4 linked regions of the Arabidopsis thaliana genome follow. The protein of the gene in region 1 interacts with the protein of each later gene in a pairwise test. Each region holds a gene or a part of one and is shown in the gene's direction. Other genes may lie near its edges. The genes, in order: GrxC5, AT5G17560, AT1G55805 and CPSUFE.

The links.
Region 2: the proteins of GrxC5 (region 1) and AT5G17560 interact in a two-hybrid assay, tested with the Arabidopsis thaliana proteins (one study listed by BioGRID).
Region 3: the proteins of GrxC5 (region 1) and AT1G55805 interact in a two-hybrid assay, tested with the Arabidopsis thaliana proteins (one study listed by BioGRID).
Region 4: the proteins of GrxC5 (region 1) and CPSUFE interact in a two-hybrid assay, tested with the Arabidopsis thaliana proteins (one study listed by BioGRID).

Annotation. Positions count from the first base shown.
Region 1 is NC_003075.7:14,196,694-14,201,728, forward strand, and holds GrxC5 (Glutaredoxin family protein), read left to right. Parts: upstream 1-2,349; 5' UTR 2,350-2,480; coding exon 2,481-2,752; intron 2,753-2,926; coding exon 2,927-3,000; intron 3,001-3,548; coding exon 3,549-3,623; coding exon of another isoform or gene 3,624-3,631; exon of another isoform or gene 3,632-3,794; coding exon 3,795-3,821; intron 3,822-3,942; coding exon 3,943-4,019; 3' UTR 4,020-4,210; downstream 4,211-5,035. Other genes in the region: AT4G28740 (LOW PSII ACCUMULATION-like protein), read left to right, coding at 4,358-4,632, 4,851-5,035. UniProt on the Arabidopsis thaliana protein: Has a glutathione-disulfide oxidoreductase activity in the presence of NADPH and glutathione reductase. Reduces low molecular weight disulfides and proteins. Can assemble a [2Fe-2S] cluster, but cannot transfer it to an apoferredoxin.
Region 2 is NC_003076.8:5,786,292-5,790,999, forward strand, and holds AT5G17560 (BolA-like family protein), read left to right. Parts: upstream 1-2,066; 5' UTR 2,067-2,182; coding exon 2,183-2,506; intron 2,507-2,841; coding exon 2,842-2,909; coding exon of another isoform or gene 2,910-2,913; exon of another isoform or gene 2,914-3,084; coding exon of another isoform or gene 3,085-3,103; exon of another isoform or gene 3,104-3,238; coding exon 3,239-3,380; 3' UTR 3,381-3,673; downstream 3,674-4,708. Other genes in the region: PEX19-2 (peroxin 19-2), read right to left, coding at 452-497, 580-896, 1,205-1,493, 1,663-1,702, 1,830-1,875.
Region 3 is NC_003070.9:20,857,960-20,861,858, reverse strand, and holds AT1G55805 (BolA-like family protein), read left to right. Parts: upstream 1-2,375; 5' UTR 2,376-2,420; coding exon 2,421-2,903; 3' UTR 2,904-3,249; downstream 3,250-3,899. Other genes in the region: UKL3 (uridine kinase-like 3), read right to left, coding at 105-174, 276-367, 445-586; AT1G55803 (ferredoxin-fold anticodon-binding domain protein), read left to right, coding at 3,624-3,804. UniProt on the Arabidopsis thaliana protein: May act either alone or in interaction with glutaredoxin as a redox-regulated transcriptional regulator, or as a factor regulating Fe-S cluster biogenesis. The glutaredoxin-BOLA1 heterodimers bind a labile, oxygen sensitive iron-sulfur cluster.
Region 4 is NC_003075.7:13,381,356-13,385,786, reverse strand, and holds CPSUFE (chloroplast sulfur E), read left to right. Parts: upstream 1-2,145; 5' UTR 2,146-2,215; coding exon 2,216-3,331; 3' UTR 3,332-3,589; downstream 3,590-4,431. Other genes in the region: UKL4 (uridine kinase-like 4), read right to left, coding at 132-244, 576-645, 934-1,025, 1,128-1,284. UniProt on the Arabidopsis thaliana protein: Participates in cysteine desulfurization mediated by NFS2 in chloroplast and NIFS1 in mitochondrion. Activates the cysteine desulfurase activity of NFS2.

The DNA of each region.
Region 1 (5,035 bases):
AAAGTCTATTTCAAAACCCATGGAGGAGTGATCATTTAGCCTCATGTACCCTCACCGCATGTTACCTATTTAGAAACTACAAGGTGAGATGTTGAATTTGAGTGACCATTATCTTTTTGCTTTCTTCTTTGTTTTTGCCATACTTGTCACTTGTCATCTCACATTCACACTTATTCTCAATCTATTTTCATCACCTTGGCAAAAATCCTAGCTAGATAGGCATCATCTTGGATTCTAGTTATGTGGTCTGGTTGTGAATATTTAGCTAGCTAGAAATCTATCACATAGGTAGATATGCGTCAATATACATTTACAGTGCCATTTACTTTTCTTTTTTACGAAATTGCGTAACAAGATTTCATACGACTTTGATTTAAAAGTTGTCAATCACACCAATTTTACATATTTCGACCAAATTCTTATTGTTTTTCAAATAAAATACGGTCTACTTTGACTATCAGATTAACCCAAAAAATACCTCAAAAAATTGATTATATCCGAAAAAATAATTACTTTTTGGATTAAAAATTTTTATCGAAAATCGTTATCGTGAGAGTTAGATTTAGGTCTTATTTGAATCTACTTTTGATTAATTAGTATATATAAATGGGTCAAAATGATTTGAGAGCTGCTTTGAAGATATTAGTGACAAAGAGTAAATGGGTAACACATGCGAATGGTCACAAATTCTGCAGTGGAGAAATCACTCATGTTCAAGGGTCCACATTGTTCATCTTACACATTACCAAAGTCTGCAAAAACTAGGGTTTGTTCCTTTCACATGCCTATGTCTGTTAGATGAACTACCTCTCGTGAAAAGAAAAAAAATATATTCCTCTACACTAAACACAAGAAAGAAGAAACCAACAAACACTTGTATTTACCACAAACAATTTTCAAAGATTTCATTTACGTATAAGTCAATTTTCCAAGTCCAAAGTTTAGGATAGATACGTAATCAAATAAATAATAGACAATGTATGTTATAAAAGTAGGAACTAGTACTTCTCTATCAAGTAACTAACTATACAAGCTCATCAAGTTTTTTTTTTCTTTAATGTAATTTGTTTATAGTTTATCAAGTTTTAGTTCTTATATATACTCAAATATGTACGTAAAGAAAAAATAATTCGAATGTACTGGATTTAATCATTGGGATGGTAAAGTTTCGAATGGAACACTACTGTACCCATATCTCTATATCCCTTTTTATGTACCTGCAACCCCACACACACATATATATATATAGTATGGGCATTTTAGTTCCAATCCGGCTAGAGATTCATTCTGATTATGTATAATATTTATAATGTTTCTAGTATTTAGAAATTTGATATTTCTGTGTAAAATTTCTTACACAATATTTTTTCTTATCATTAGATTTTGTAAGCAAATACAAACCTTAACTAGCTAGCTTAATACATTATTTTTGAGTTGTGTAGAAGAATTCCGAAATTCCACATATGTAAATGCCTAAAATAATTAAAAAGAAATAGATATTTAGATCATTCGCTCGGATACAGATTGGATACGAATATCTGAATTTTCTTAAGTGTTTGATTTGTACCAATCGTTAGTATTTACTCATACACGCATGGATGGACACAGACAACACTAGGAACTTGTACAAATGAGAGTACTTGCCAATTCTTTTAGTCAGTTTTATAATATAATTGTTTATAATTAAAATGAGTTATGTTTTGTGTGGTGCATGTATATAATATTTAATACATGTATGTGTGCATATATTTATGTATGTCAATGCAACAAAGATTTGGGCTTATAAATGAATGAAGAAAATGTTGGTGGGATATGGACAAAAACAAATTGGAGAAACAATGAAATAATTCGAACCCATGACGTTACAACTAGTCAAAAGTCCCCACATGATCTTATCAAACGTAGGTCCATGGATGAGTTGTTTTCGATATCATAAATTTCTCACGAATTTTGTTATATGGCCTTTAAGTGTAAAATGACAAAACTTGCCAAACAAATCATAGACCCAATGCAATTTAGATATCATTGGTGAATGGTTATAGTAAGTTTAATAGCTTTCAATTCAAAATCAATTGAAATGAATGGCTTGACTTATGTTACTTAGTTATTATTATTAATTTCATGATATTTCTTATGTGAGATTCGTAACATGTTTCTTCAAAATAATTCATCTTTCATCTCATCTTGTATGATATCATGATGAGTGAGATATGATTTGTTTTCAAGTCTTATAAAGCCTATTAGGCCCAGAACCACGAATACTTTTCAGAGAAGAAAACGCCCATTAGTAATAGTATAGGCCCATTAAGTATTAGAATAACAAAAATTCAGATTTTTTTTGTTGGTCACGAAAATTTAGCTTTTTAATTTAATAAAAGAAAAATGGGAAAAGAGGACAAGTCACGTCACGAGACAAATTAGCATAGCACGCAAAGAAGAAGAAGAAGAAGAAGCTCCAAGAATCTGTCGCAGAAATCGCCATGGCAGTCACAGCATTTAACACATTGAAACTTGTATCGTCGTCTCTAGATCCGATTCCTTCAGTCTCTTGTTCTTCTTATTCCTTCTCTCTGATATATGTCGGATCTCCTTACAAGAGATGTCTAAAGCAGTCATGTTCTGTTCGAGCTATGACTTCTTCTTCTTCGGCTGCATCGTCTTCTTCTTCGTCCTTTGGATCGAGAATGGAAGAGAGTATTAGGAAAACAGTGACTGAGAACACTGTCGTTATTTACTCCAAAACTTGGTGCTCGTATGTTCACTACTCTCTTTCGTTATCAGTTTTAATTAGGATTTGTTTTATTTCTTTCTTTTTGCTTAATTGGAGAATGGGTTTATCAAATATCCTTGTAAATTTTCGTTTTTACTGTTATTCAGATCTTAATGTTTCTGTTGATAATTTGTTGGTGTTTGGTGTGTATTGAAGATACTGTACTGAAGTGAAGACATTGTTCAAGAGACTTGGGGTTCAGCCACTGGTTGTTGAATTGGATCAACTTGGTATGTTTGCATTTCCTTAACATTTCTATCTTTTTTTTCCATAGCTTAGCTTGAGTAATTGATTTGATCATGATAATACTATATCATGGCTTTAGATAGATGATGAGGTAATGCTTGTTAGTTTTTAAAAGTATCCATTAGTATTGCCTTTAACCTTTAGATTTTGGTTACATATGCATATTACTATTCTAGTTTATGTTGTGGCATTTAGACTCGTTGAAAGAATGCAAGTCTTGTTTACCTTCTGAGTGATTTAGTTTTTCAGATTCGAATGAGTTTACATGTTTATCTTTAACTTTTCTTTCTGGACCATTGGGTTGAAAATGTACATTTTGGGGATTCTTGTTTGCCTTTGATATTTGTTGTAACCTGCTTTTGTTTCTCACTAGTCCATACTTGTATATATCATAAAAGTAAATGTGTCTCTCTCTTTGAGAACAGTTGAAGATGCAATTGTCAAAATGTTTGGTGATTTTGGACAACAAAGAATGATTTGTTATGTTCTATCTAAAGTTCTGTTTGACTAAACTATGTTTGGTTAATTTCAGGTCCACAAGGGCCACAACTGCAGAAGGTACTGGAAAGACTTACTGGGCAACACACTGTTCCTAATGTTTTCGTATGTAAGTAGTTTAATCCGTTTACATCGATCATATCTTCATTGAAACTCTGTTTTCCTTATATATCCTACCTGCTTCAAAAGATGAAACCTTTAGATGTCCCAAAGAAGTGAACAACATAGTTTCAGTTAATAGCTAGTCATAACAGTGTCTAATCTTTGTCCTAATGAGCAGGTGGCAAGCACATTGGTGGCTGCACAGGTACTTTCCTCCTTCTCTTCTCACCTCTTTGGTTTCTTCTACTTCTCAAATGTGAGATGCCTCAGTTTTGGATATTGTTTCACTCAACTATTGGCATTATCTTCTTGTTCTTGTGCTACAGATACAGTGAAGCTTAACAGGAAAGGAGATCTGGAACTGATGTTAGCTGAAGCCAACGGTAAAAACGGTCAGAGTTGAGGAGATGTTGAAACTGGTTCGGAGATTTTTGCATACGGAGCTTGGAAAGTTTTCTCATTTTTGTTATTATCATTGTACCTCATTTGAATACAATAATTATAGTTAATAAATAACATATACATATCATGTAATTGTTGATCTCTCTTTGTTTTTCACCACTTGAATTCACAGTTTTCAAGCCTTCAGAGTAATCCAAATATTACCAATCCCAGGCTGATAAATAAAGAAGGAAAAAAGTGGCCTAATATATATTCTAGAAAATCCAAAATCAGAGAGAAGCGTGGCAAGTTTAGGATCACAGGTCAATAGAGTGAAAAATGATCCCAAACTGAAAAGAGATGTCATCTTCTGAAACAGGGGAAGTTGCAGAGAATCTAGCGAGACCAATGGCTACTCTGGTCTCGTCTCAAACTTACATCTACCATTGTCATATTAGTAAACAAGCTCTTTATCAGGCAAAAGAATCATACTCTCATCGTAGAATTTCCCGTCATAATCACAGAGAAAGACTCGATTTTTCTCATAGAAACCATAGATTGACAATAACTAGAAAGCAGCAACCTTTGTCTTTCAACACCGTGTGTTTTGCCGCAGACGAGCCCTCCGAAATCAGGTAAACTTCGACTTCTTCTAACCTTATTAAATTGGGGTTCGTCTTTAGATTTGAATGAATTATGGTTTAGGTTCTATCTGTGTCGTTGTTGAATCAATTTTAGTACTTGGTAGGTTTATGCTCATTGACATGATGAAAGGTTAAAACTTTGAATGCAAGAATGTTATCTCACACCTTGTGTAATGTCACAGCTAAGTTATCTCTGTTTATGGTTTCAGTGCTGATGCTAGAATCCGTAGTGAGGTTCTGTCTCCGTTCAGATCAGTCCGTATGTTCTTCTACCTCGCCTTTATAGCAAGCGGTTCATTAGGAGGACTAATAGCCACTTCTAGGCTCATAGGTGCCCTGGCGAATCCGGCTAGATCAGGTGAAGTTCTTGAGATCGTTAAGGGTTTGGGAGTTG
Region 2 (4,708 bases), on another chromosome or scaffold:
TTATCGAGATTAAAGTTTTTTATGATGGTTTTTTAAGTGGCTAAAAGTTTAGAGTGAAAAGTTGAGATTCCAACTAGTATAGGACCGAAAATTCAGCCAACCCATGAGACTATGATGCAATGCCTCTTTGGCTCTTTCCTCTTTTGATTTGACGTGACAAACCTTACATAGGACACTTCATTTATTGAACAGCCGAAATGAATTGGATGAAGAGCACGTTTATGTTTCAGTGAATTTATGAATTTGTGTGTAGAGATTCAAAATTATTCCAAAACAGAACTAACCAAAAGGAACAAGAACCGAAACCCAATAACTTTGGTATTCAGGTAAGAAAAAAAAAAGAACTTAAACAAGCTTTGCATTGTACAATGCACAAGAGAAACAAAAACATGTTCTCCATTCTTCAATGGCTGGACAAGGCCAAACAGTTTTCTAAAACCTGTTTCTTCCCTCACATTACACAACAATTTGGTGAAGACTCGAGCATGTCCGGAGACCTGTGAACATATATATATACAAAACTTAGTCACCTTGGGGTCTTTAAAGATCACAGAGATTCCAATAAGGAAGAAGACTTACATTTGGCCCAGACTAGCGAAATCAAAGCCAGGATCCATCTCTTGCACTATATCACTCGGTGGTTGTCCACACTCTTGCATCTTCTGCATTATCTCCATTATCTTGGTCGAATTGTTTGGTTCGTTCTCGTACACCAAGTTGAGTTCTTTGATAAGTTCATACTGGCGTGAATAACGATCGAATTCTTCCTTGTTTAGACTGGATTCATGCTCTTCTAGCCATTTTGGGTATCTTGCACCAATCTCTTTCATTGGTTCGTGAAGAATATCCTTCGATAACAGCTGTTGCATCATCGTGTCCACTATCGACTCCAAGTCCTAAACAAAAACATGGAAATTATGAAATGAGAAATCATAAAAACAAAACTTCTAGTGATCAAGACTACTTTCAAATGGTTCTGCAAACTAATTCTCATCTTCAATTGTGGTTTTTTCGATATTAGTATCAGTATCACTACTATTAACACAGCCTTCAAAACTACTTTGCAACATGTGTTACTACTCTGCAACAACCTTAACTAGATGAAACTTTAGTAATCTAATCTAATCAGAGAACTTGAAGATAAAGAGAACATTAAACTAGATAAGTATAGCAAGAAGTAACAACTCAGTTTGTGTATACTTACGTTAGACCCAGTAAGATTCTCGAATTGCTTGATCCAATCTTCAACCATAGCATCATCAGAACCTGTAGGTTGCTGCTTCGATGACAAGGACTCAAGTCCCTTCACAGTTTCTCTAGTTTGTTCCCTGAGTTTATCAAGTGCCTCAGTAACATGGTCCTCTTTAGCAATCTTTTTCTTTCCTTTCTTCTTACTCCTCATATCTGGTAACCCCATTCCAAGACCTTGAACCCCACTTGGCAATGACTCTGTCTCTTTTTTATCACCCTCTTCTTTCTTAACCCCTCCATTTCTACATAAATCCAAAGCTAATCAACACCACAATTCCCACCAAAAACATAACAGAACCTCTAATTTAGTATTGATGTAACCACAATCTCAAAACTCTAGAGCTAAGTAATCTAACCACGTGGCATAGATACAATTAGAGAGAGACAGAGATTATGAGAAAAAGGAGTAACCTTTGAGTAAGATTAAGATCCTTGAAATCATCCAAGGCACCTGAGAAAGACCCAGAATTCTAAATTATAGAAAACGAACCCACAAGAACAAAAACGTTTTTCACCAATCACCTAGAATTGGTGAACATGTTATCAAATCAAATTAAAATTCGTTAGGAAATTATTACTATCGAGAAGCTCGTCTAAGTCATCGGTGTGAGTATCGTTGGCCATATTCTCGAGTCTCTCTTCCTCAACTCTCGAAGAAACTCACAAAATTCGAAGAGGAAGAGAGAATTATCGCATTGAAGAGAGAAACAAATTTCCAAAGGCGGTGTTGTTCAATTGATCAAGTTCAGGATTCGATCCAACGGCTGACATTATTTCCATTAAAGAATTATATTATTAAAATCTTAAAATGACTTGAAACCACGAAAGCCCATTAAGTTTAACTGTGTTGTGTCGTAAGCCCATTTTTTCAAGAACCAACGACATTGCCACAGAACATTTTTTTTTTTTTTACTCGCAAGTCTCTCAAGCAATGGCGCAGACATTAATGGCGACAACTCGTCCGTACGTTCTTCTCTCTTCCACAAGAGCGAGTCTTTATCGCCTTTTTCAATCTTCAAAGAGACCCTTCGCTTCATTCTCAGCTCCTCTCGTGAGATTCACTAACTCGAGATGTGTAAGCGCCGTTTTGTCTCGTAAAGAGACTGCGCCGTCGTCGATTTACGGCAATAGAGTTTCTAGGGTTTCTGGGTTTGGTGCTTTGGACATTCGCAGCCTTAATTTCAGTACTAAATCCTCTCAAATCAATGATGCTGGTTCTATTGATCAAACCCTTATGCAATCCATGGAGCTAAAGGTTGGATTTTTATACCTCATTAACTAATTTCAGTGAAATTGATTCATTGTGTATGTTTCAGTGTCAATTCAATTTATAGGTTATAGTATTATTAGTGAATTTTTGAAGGAATTGATTGGATACTTGGTATTGGCAACATGTGTCATATTTAGTTGATGGAAACTTGGTATTGGCAACACGATTGCTCTCAGTAGCTCCAAAATGATCAAGATCACTAAGCTAAGATAATTAATGAGGAATCATGTCTCTTACTTATATGATTGAAGCAAACGATTCTTTTTTTCGATTTATCAACACATGTCTCTCTACTTATGAGGTTTTGGCTTCATTTGCAGATCAAAGAACAATTGAATGCAGAGTCGGTTACTGTAACGGATATGTCTGGAGATGGACGTCATGTCTGGTAAGTACTCTGATTTAACTCATTTTTGTCTTCCAATGATGATTCTTTATTACACTTGAGTGAAGTTGCAGATGTGTGTTATCACTGTTATGGATAGTGTTTAGTGAAGTTTGTTAGATATATAGATAAATTCATATTTTGAGATTCCTTTTCTTTCATTTTAATCACAAAAAAGTTTCAGGTTCAACAAGTAGTAGAATCATCAAAGTTGGGATATAAGTTAGTACTTATTCTTCTGCTCTTGATGGAATCCAGTCATAGATTCTTACTTTAACTTGTCATATTAGATGGTTCTGTTACTTAATACCAGTTTTGCTTAATATTTGTAGCATCAATGTGGTATCATCGGCTTTTGAGGGACAATCTGCAGTGAACAGACAAAGGATGGTCTACAAAGCCATTTGGGAAGAGCTTCAGAACGTTGTTCATGCCGTTGATCAAATGACAACAAAGACTCCTTCTGAAGTTTGAAGCGTTAAATTTTCCGAACTCTAAAAGGCTTCAATATCTTATATTATTTGATTAGCTGACAATGCTGTTTGTTTTATCAAAAAGAAAAAAGCAAAAGGAACTGATATACAGCTTTTGGTTATTTTTTAAGTACTTTGATTGGTTCTCTTGCAACCCGCCAACACATGTTAAGTGTTGGAGCGTTTGCGGTTTGCGGTTACACGTGTTTGGCGTTTTCAATCGCTCTAAATGAATAAGAACAAAATTAGCGTTTGTGGTGGCGGATTATCTTCAAAATAAACTTTATTCTCTACTAGCTAATGTTATCATTTCAAAAAAAAAAATTTAGTCGATAAATAGATTAAAATATATTTGTGGTCATAAAAATTATATGTATGCATGGAAACGTATCAATTCAAAACTGAAAAGTTTTTTGCAATGAAAATTGTAAGATTTATAATAATATGATTGTTGCTTTTATATACATGTTACATGCATGAATAGTGAATAACTGAATATTGAACTACTATGGTTGATTTGGGAACCGTATTAGCCATCAACTAGACAAAAATCGTTTATATCAGTAGTAGCAACACTTAATAATGGTTACAACTAGTCCATCTGCTCAAATTCCCATATCTTTACTTTAGCTACATGGATTAACAGTTTTTTTTTTTTTGTTATCGGTTATTATACCATCATTAGAAACATAATGTTGTTTTGTAAAAAAAGAAAACACTCATATTGTTACAACTTGGAAACATAAGTTCATTTAACTCCAATTATTACAAGTAGACAAACATAGGTTTTATAGATACTATACTACCACAACCCATCACATGTTTTTTTTCACATTATGATTGGTATTTACAAAACATAGTTGTTATAGATACTACCACAAGGTCCACAACCCATCACATGTTTTTTTTCACATAATGATTTTGATATTTTACAAGGTCTTGAAGTGAAAAGGAGAAAATGAAGAATGAACAGTGTGCGAAAACACACTATGTTCATTCCTTCATTTTACTATGAACACATATATATGTATGTGTAGAAGATACTACATGAATATTCTTAAGCAGCTTTGTTTCACCTTGGTATTAGTTCTCGCGGCAATGACGGCGATTAGGCCCGGACGGTTTTTCATAGGAAAGTTGAGCTTTTTCATAGGAAAATTGAGCTCTCCTTGGCAAGTTATGTCTTCTTGATGGACCTGAAGGTGGAACCGGATATACTCTATGACCCGGCGGGTGGGTTTTCTTGCCGGTAGTTGCATTATGATGATGATGATGATGATCCTGATGACAGTTGAGGAACCGGAGTGTTGCTCCGGCGGTTATCGCCGA
Region 3 (3,899 bases), on another chromosome or scaffold:
CAAGGAAGCATATGACACACAATTCGTAGATTCAAAAGGCTAAGGGACACAGAACAGCGTGCATTAGATCAAAAGACCCATTAGTTTTTCAAAAACTTACTAACCAGGATGGTCAAAATTGTAATCATGAACTCTTACAAGCTCCACTTCATTTACATTATGGTAGAAAGAATCCTGCAAACAAAGATCAACCTCGGTGCATTATATATCGACTTACAAGAGCTTTAAAAAAATGGTTTATATTGTTGCATAATCATATCGAGGACAAGAATCACCTGATTTACAACAACAGCTCTCTGATCATGCAGTTGCTGCATAATCATATCACAGACAGTTGTTTTCCCGGATGCTGCACCTCCAGCAACTCCTGAAAACAACATTTTCTATTTAACATTTTCTGTTTCTAACCATCTTTGGTAAACTAAAATCCACCACGACTCTCACCGATCACAAAAGGTTGACCATGTTCTTCTTCCTCAGCCATTTGCTCTGGTCTATTTGAAGCTAAACCATCCATTTGATGAAATCCTGAGAAATGAACCTTTGAGGATGTCTCTATTATATTCACATCCGACTTTGAAGCCATTCCTACAACACAAATATGCAAATCTAAATTCACATGAAATATGCCAATAAGGAAAGCAAAGCTACCTTTGTTGTCACCATCCAGGAACAAAAAGGAACACTTTCCAGTCAAAAAACAATTCCTCAAAAGAATCAAACTTTTTAGTGATATTAGTTAGATGCCACAAGTGCCAATGCCGTGATACCCATTTTCTCAAATCCAGTATAACACACAAAACAATCAACCAATCATGATAGGCCACCAGATAATAGTAACGCCAATCCTAAACATGAAACCGTAACTTTTTCCCGGGTAAAAAAGGGAAAGAACAAAAAGAAAACAGAGATCAGAAGAGAAGAAAGCTAGATTTTTTTAGATCAATACATGCAAAAGAATTATAAGAAACGTTTCATCATCATATAAACCAATATAAACCGAATCAACATGAAGATAAAAACTCACGAAAAAAGAAAGAGGGATTGAATAAGCTTCGAGATCACCGATTAGATATAGCTAACAAAAGAGCTTCCAAGTTCCAGATAAAGAATCTAAACATATAAAGAGAGAGAGACACGAGCATTGCCTGTTAAACTCGATGCACAGACAAAAACTGGACTTATTAAAAATAAAATATATTGATAACGTATATAAGTGTATGTATATGCGTTGAAAGAGAGAAAAGAATGAAGGGAGGATGCAGCGGCGGTGACGGGTTTTTGCGGAAACCGGAAAGTGGTTTTTTTGGTTTTACGAAAGTACCCTTCCCACTGAGGGACGTGGTAGTGGCAATTCTCGTAAATGTGAGAGTGTTTGAGTCCCTAAAGTAGAGAGTGTGATCAAGGATCCACGTCAGATCCGAATAGGATGTAGGACCTACTATCGAAAGCTGCAGCTAAAAACGCAGTGATATAGATGCGTGTGGTCGAATGCAATCTTACGTTACTGCAAAATTATTTATTTTATACTATTTTGGATTACGTCTACAATAATTTGTTTATTCTGTTTTTATCCATAACATTTTAACTTCATATGTTTCCTCCAAATCTATTTACCTGAATTTTGTTTTTCGAAATATATAATTTACCAATTAATATTAGTTTTCTCAACATCTACACTACCAAAGGATGCTACAATGTAAAATATTATACACAGGAACAAAATTAGCATATTTACAATTTAATCTGCACGATTGTTTGTCTATAAAATTTGAAGGATATAATCAATTTCTTCTTTTAGTTCCGTAGATTTTTTTATGATTCATTAATGAAGTTTAGACCAGAGATTAGGATCCTTAAAAAATTTGGATGAGCAGCTTAGAACCACTTTAAAAATTAATTTTGTACATCCAAAATTATCGAAACAAACTATTACCCAAATCAAAGATATTGCCTTTACTTCAAAAACTGATTACAGTTTTGGGTATGTTTTAGCACTATACCATCTTATTCTTATCATACCATGATCTTCTTGGAGAATTCATCTAATACTATTTTGGTCATAAATCAACATTTCAAAAAATATCCACGTTACAATTGTAAATTGTTATTACTTAATTATGTCTTAAGTTTTTTAACCACACCAAAAAAATATTAAATCATATACACAAACATTTTTCGAATGTATTTGTTATTTGATTTCTCACACAAATGTGAAGAAGTATGAGGGTGTTTCGATACACTTTTAGAGTTTGTTTGTTTTTTTGTAATTTTTTTCTCACAAATGTGGGGTGATGTTATTATATTTGAAAATTTGTGGACCTTAATGCAAATAACGCCTCTAATAGTAGATTCGTGAAGATGATAAGCTGACAAAACGACAGCGTCTAATATAGTTTCGAGTTTCTTCGACAGTGGCAATGTTTTCATCTTCGATTAGGTTAATCGTATCTGGGTTCCACCGGACTCAACCCCTAAAATCGCCGGTAAATTCTCCGAGCGTCTTCATCTCCGTACCTAAATTCTTCAACTCTGAGTCAAAATCGACGGGAACTGGTTCAAGATCCGTAGCAATGAGCAGCGTTGAGAAAACCGGGTCGGATTCTGGAGCAATAGAGAATCGAGCGAGCAGGATGAGAGAGAAGCTTCAAAAAGAGCTCGAACCAGTGGAGTTAGTGATCGAAGATGTTTCGTATCAGCACGCTGGTCACGCCGGAATGAAAGGTAGAACCGACGATGAGACGCATTTCAATGTGAAGATCGTTTCTAAAGGATTCGAGGGAATGAATTTGGTGAAGAGACACAGGTTGGTCTATCATTTGCTCCGGGAAGAGTTGGATACTGGATTGCACGCTCTTTCTATCGTCTCCAAGACGCCGTCTGAGTCTCCTTCTAAAGACTAGTGTACTGGTACTGTTTAATGTATCTTCTGTTTCTGTTATCAGAGTTTCTCATCAAACTCTGTTCGATTCAAAGATTGAATTTTTACCATCAAAGTGCTCTGTTTTGGAATTTATTGCGGAGCCAAAGTCTTCATTTTTACATACGCTTGAGGTTGTGTGTTGGTGTTTCTGGAATTGTGTGTTGGAACAAAGACACTTGCTTTTAGTTCAATTCGAGTTCTGTCTTTTCTAGCATTCAAAACTATAATGGTCATAGCTTGATGAATTGAATTAAGGCTCCATTTAGTTGAAAGTCCAATCAATGGTCATGTGTTTGAATTCTCAAAGGAAGCTCGATTGTGCCGTGTTTGTTAGCTTGGAGCCAAAAGGGTTGTTTTTCCATGTTTCTGTCTCTTTCTTCTTCAGATTATTCTCCCATTGTCATCAATGGCGTTTGCGTCTTCTAATCGCTAACGCTAGAAACAAAACGCCTTTTCCAATAGTCCATGTCACCTTCCTTTAGCAACAAATATATGTACTTTATGGGCTTAAACCAAATCTAATCAGTGATCACCTTTTTCTTTTGTGGGTAAAGTGAATCGTCATTTCCATTGTCTGGAGAAGCTAAACCGTCCCTCTTCTATACATCAACAGAGCAAGTTACGTTAGTATATGTCCGAAGATAAATAAAACGAAAAAAAAACAACTTTCCAAACTATCATCATTTTCACTACATTGGCGATGAGGGAGCTCTCGGAGCTTAACAGAGACAGAGACGGTGATGAAGAAGTGTGGGTCAAACACTATTCATCCAAGCACCAGATACTTCTCGTAGGCGAAGGAGATTTCTCCTTCTCTTGCAGCTTAGCCACTTGCTTCGGCTCTGCTTCCAATATCTATGCTTCCTCTCTCGATTCATACGGTAACACTTGGTTTACTTACATTGTAAGAGTTATTAAGGTTTTGATTTCGTTATCACTTCCATTTCTGTGATCACTTACTAAGTTTTTGAACTTC
Region 4 (4,431 bases), 820 kb from region 1:
AGCCAGTGGTGACATCTAAGAAATTGCTATTGTTACAGAAAGAGGCAGTGAGAAAATGAAAAAGGAATCTCAAATTTATAAACATCAAGTAACAATATGATAATGAGTGATGCTGAGAGGGAAGGTGGTACCCTTCTGAAAACACTGCTCCTGTAAGTTTTAAAATCATATTTTGGAATATCTACAGCTTGCCCTTGCCTCAATTTCTCCATACAAGACAATAAATGCTCTGTGTCAAATGCGTCTACAGAAACAACAACAATTCATTAGAATCCTGGATAAAAAGAAATTAACGGTGGATGACAAAGAGTAATGCACAAGACTTTTTCTCATAACTCCCAGCAACTAGTAATGTGCTGTCAGGGATGAAATTGCTTTAATAAAAGAGAATACATCAATTAGTAAGATATCACTGAATAATATGGCTGTTAGTTATGCCTTAATTATCCCAAAGAAGTATTATAAAAAAAAAAAAAATGGCCAAAGAAGCTAGGAAAGATTTTTTACTCCTGATGACACTATGTATTGACAAGAGTAGATTACAGAAAGCAATTACACTCCAAATATATTCTCACCTGGATGATCAAAGTTGTATTCATGAACTCTAGCAAGTTCTTCTTCAGTCAGATTATGATAGAACGAGTCCTGCCAAAAATCATTATCATAGGATATTAAGTCGAGCAATTTGTGGTTTATCATGATGCCAAAGGAATTTGAGAATTAGATAAATAGACTGACATAAATATCTAAACAATGGTGACAAGGTTGAACAATGTTAAACTTCAGCCATATATAAGTTATTAGCTGGTAATATTCTCCTTTTAGATCTCTAAATTGTGTGGAATTCAATTGACTTCATATACATTCGAAACACAAATCAAACCGGTGGTTATCACTTAGCTCTATGAAACTTTATTAGCAAAACAAAATTACCAGGTTAATAAGTACAACACGCTGATCGTGCAGTTGCTGGATTATCATATCACAAACAGTAGTCTTTCCCGATGCTGCGCCTCCAGCAACACCTAACCAATTCAAGTCACAACATATCAATCAAGACCATTCGTCAAGCTTTTTTTATCCACGACCATATATTAATCAAAAATGAAAGCAAAAGCAGAACTCACCTATTACAAAAGGCTGTCTTTGGATATCTTCTGATGCAGAAGTGGTTTCCTTAAGTGCACTTGGTTCCAACCCATTCATGTGCCCATTCACGTGTAAACCAGAAAAATGTGCCCGCGAGGCAGCTTCGATCATGTCAACAACGGACTTAGAACCCATCCCGACGACAATTCTGGACATTGTACATTGGTAAAATAACTTAAATCTTTATCACAATCATGCATAAGCAAACACAATACAAGGAATCTTACAACTTCATCTAGATTCTAAACAACAATGTGAATCAAATCCAACTTTATCCAGCAAAACAGAGAAGAAAAGAGTGAAAAATTTCAGCTGCAACCAAAAACTGTAAATCCAAACTCTTTTGATAACCATAGATCAACAAATGCGAGAACAATCCAAAAGAAACAAAACCCTCAAGTTATAACATTTAATCAAACATGGAAGAACCAGAAGAGCAATGATCGATCATCTCGAGGTGAAATCGTACTTACATGAAAAAACAGATCGTTCAAAAGAGATAAGTCGTAAAAATGAGATTTTTAAAATTACCCAGATTCAGTTTTGCTCTCAAGGATCTAAGGAAAGCCTCAAATCAGAAAAAAAAACGGAGATGCAGTTTCTTTCTGTGGAAGTAGACAGAAACAATAGAATCTCAGATAAGAAAGGGACAGTTTTTTAATTTGATTAAATTTGATAAAAGTGTTTTTATTTAATTTAATTTAATTGCTTACATTGGTAAAAGCTGGATTCGGACATGATTGATTTGATATATAATAATGGCGGACGTGTTTGAGGTGACGAACGCAAGAGAACGAAGAACCAGGAAGACGATGCTTCAAAACAAAACAAAAAAAATCTAGATATCTTTTTCTTTTCCTTATTTATGAAAAGAGTCGTATACTTTCTAATTATTCATAATCAACCCCACAATTGATTTTACATCTAATTTTTGGATTTTGGTACATTCCCGGTTTAATTCCCGGTTACTACCTAATTGGCGGTATTGGTTTTTGACTCAGAAAAAGTGAAGAAGGAGAGCTTTCATCATCATCTCAGTCTCTCTCGAAGTTTCAAGTTCGCGACTATGGCAGCAGCGATGTCTTCTTCTTGTTGCGCTTCCTCGCTTCGTTTAATCCCATTCAAACGGACCTTGTTTTCTTCAATCCATTATCCGGCCAAAACCCTTCTTCTACGACCACTAAAACCGTCGGAAGTTCCTTCCTTTCGCCGGACGATCATCACTTTCCAGAAAATTTCAACCGGGATTGTTCCTCCACCATCGGCTTCATCATCTCCGTCGAGCTATGGAGACCTTCAACCAATCGAAGAGCTTCCACCGAAGCTACAAGAGATCGTCAAGCTTTTCCAATCGGTACAAGAGCCAAAGGCTAAATACGAGCAGCTTATGTTCTACGGGAAGAATCTGACACCTCTCGATTCTCAATTCAAGACGAGGGAGAATAAAGTAGAAGGATGTGTTTCTCAGGTTTGGGTTAGGGCTTTCTTTGATGAGGAACGTAATGTTGTGTATGAAGCTGATTCTGATTCGGTTCTCACTAAAGGGTTAGCTGCTCTATTAGTCAAGGGTTTATCTGGAAGACCTGTCCCTGAGATTTTGAGGATAACACCTGATTTCGCTGTTCTTCTCGGGTTGCAGCAGAGTCTGTCTCCTTCTAGAAACAATGGATTACTTAATATGCTTAAGCTGATGCAGAAAAAGGCTCTTCATTTGGAAGTCAAAGGTGAGGAAGATTCAAGTTCTGGAGAGAGTTCAGAATCCAGCTTTGTGTCTATTCCTGAGACTAAGGACGAAGCTAATGTTCCGGAGGTGGATTTGGAGTCTAAACCTGATCTAGTTGAGGATTTGGGAACAGAAAAGATTGATGATTCTGAGAGTGGGTCAAATGTTGTTGCTTTAGGGAGTAGAGGGATGAGGATAAGAGAGAAATTGGAGAAGGAGCTAGATCCTGTTGAGTTAGAAGTTGAAGATGTTTCTTACCAGCACGCAGGACATGCCGCTGTTAGAGGTAGTGCTGGTGATGATGGGGAAACACATTTCAACTTGCGAATCGTTTCGGATGCTTTCCAAGGTAAAAGCTTGGTCAAGAGACATAGGCTGATATATGACTTGTTGCAAGATGAGTTGAAGAGCGGGTTACATGCTCTCTCTATTGTGGCAAAGACTCCTGCTGAGGTTTGAGGGTGTAACATTGGAAGAAGTCAGGTCCTGATTCTTTTACTTCTTTTGGTCCATTTGCTTTGGATATTGTTCTCTGGACCTTCTAATAATGTTAAGAGCTCGATCAGGATTGTGTTAAATGAGAGATAGATATTGAAGGATATAAATAATGTTTTCGCCAATCGCCACATGATTCACCATTTTCAAACTGATTTCCCTTTATCTTATGAGGGTCAAGGTCTTTTTTGTTTTGATATGGTTTCCTGATATTAAGTTTTGTACCTACGCTTTGAGAGATGAATAGAGAGAATGCTCAAGGTTGTTGTCCATTTGGCTAAGTTTGAATCGTTAGAAAGATCACAGCACCTAGGGAAAGCGAAAAAGGAATTTGGGGAGAAAAATGGTACTATATTCATGCCACCATTAGACATGCGAAGTTTCTTGTTCATTTTTTAATTCTTCTAGAATCTAGATACTCAAAGTTGGTATTGTCTAATCAAGTGATGCAAGTTGGTTTGAGGGACTACAGAAAAAAAGAAAGAGATTTGGTTGCTTTACTTCTTTCTGATAAAATAAGTAAAAAATGTGAAAGGAGTTTCAGATGATCCCTGTTTCAGTCTACCGTTAGACATGTGATGTTTCTTAAAGCCCCATTAGCTGAGACTTGTGGGGTTTTATATACAATCAGCTTTACATACCTGTCTAGTGAAACCAGCTGTGGTTTTAGCCAACCAATTTCTGCAACTTTTCTTTCCTGAGACCATTGTATCTTTTTTTTTTTTTTTTTTTTGATCAAAGTTGAGATTTTGAATATTAAAATCCTCTGTGTTGGTATATGCTAAAAAATGGTTAAGCTTCTTCTTGTGTGTTTTACTGATTTTGATTACTTTAAGTCCTAAAGGGAACCAACATAGGCATCTAATGCTTGTACCTCTTTTGCTTTTGGTCTTAATTCTTTTCTCTGGTGGTTCAGGTATGTTGAACTGTATTAAAATACAACATTGGTCTTGGCACTGTGTCTTGTGGATCAATTATGGATCTGCTTCATAGAAAGATAATATCTTTCCAGTTTCTTTATCTTGGAAATAGTACAAACTCCGATCTCGGTTCTTGGATAGAGT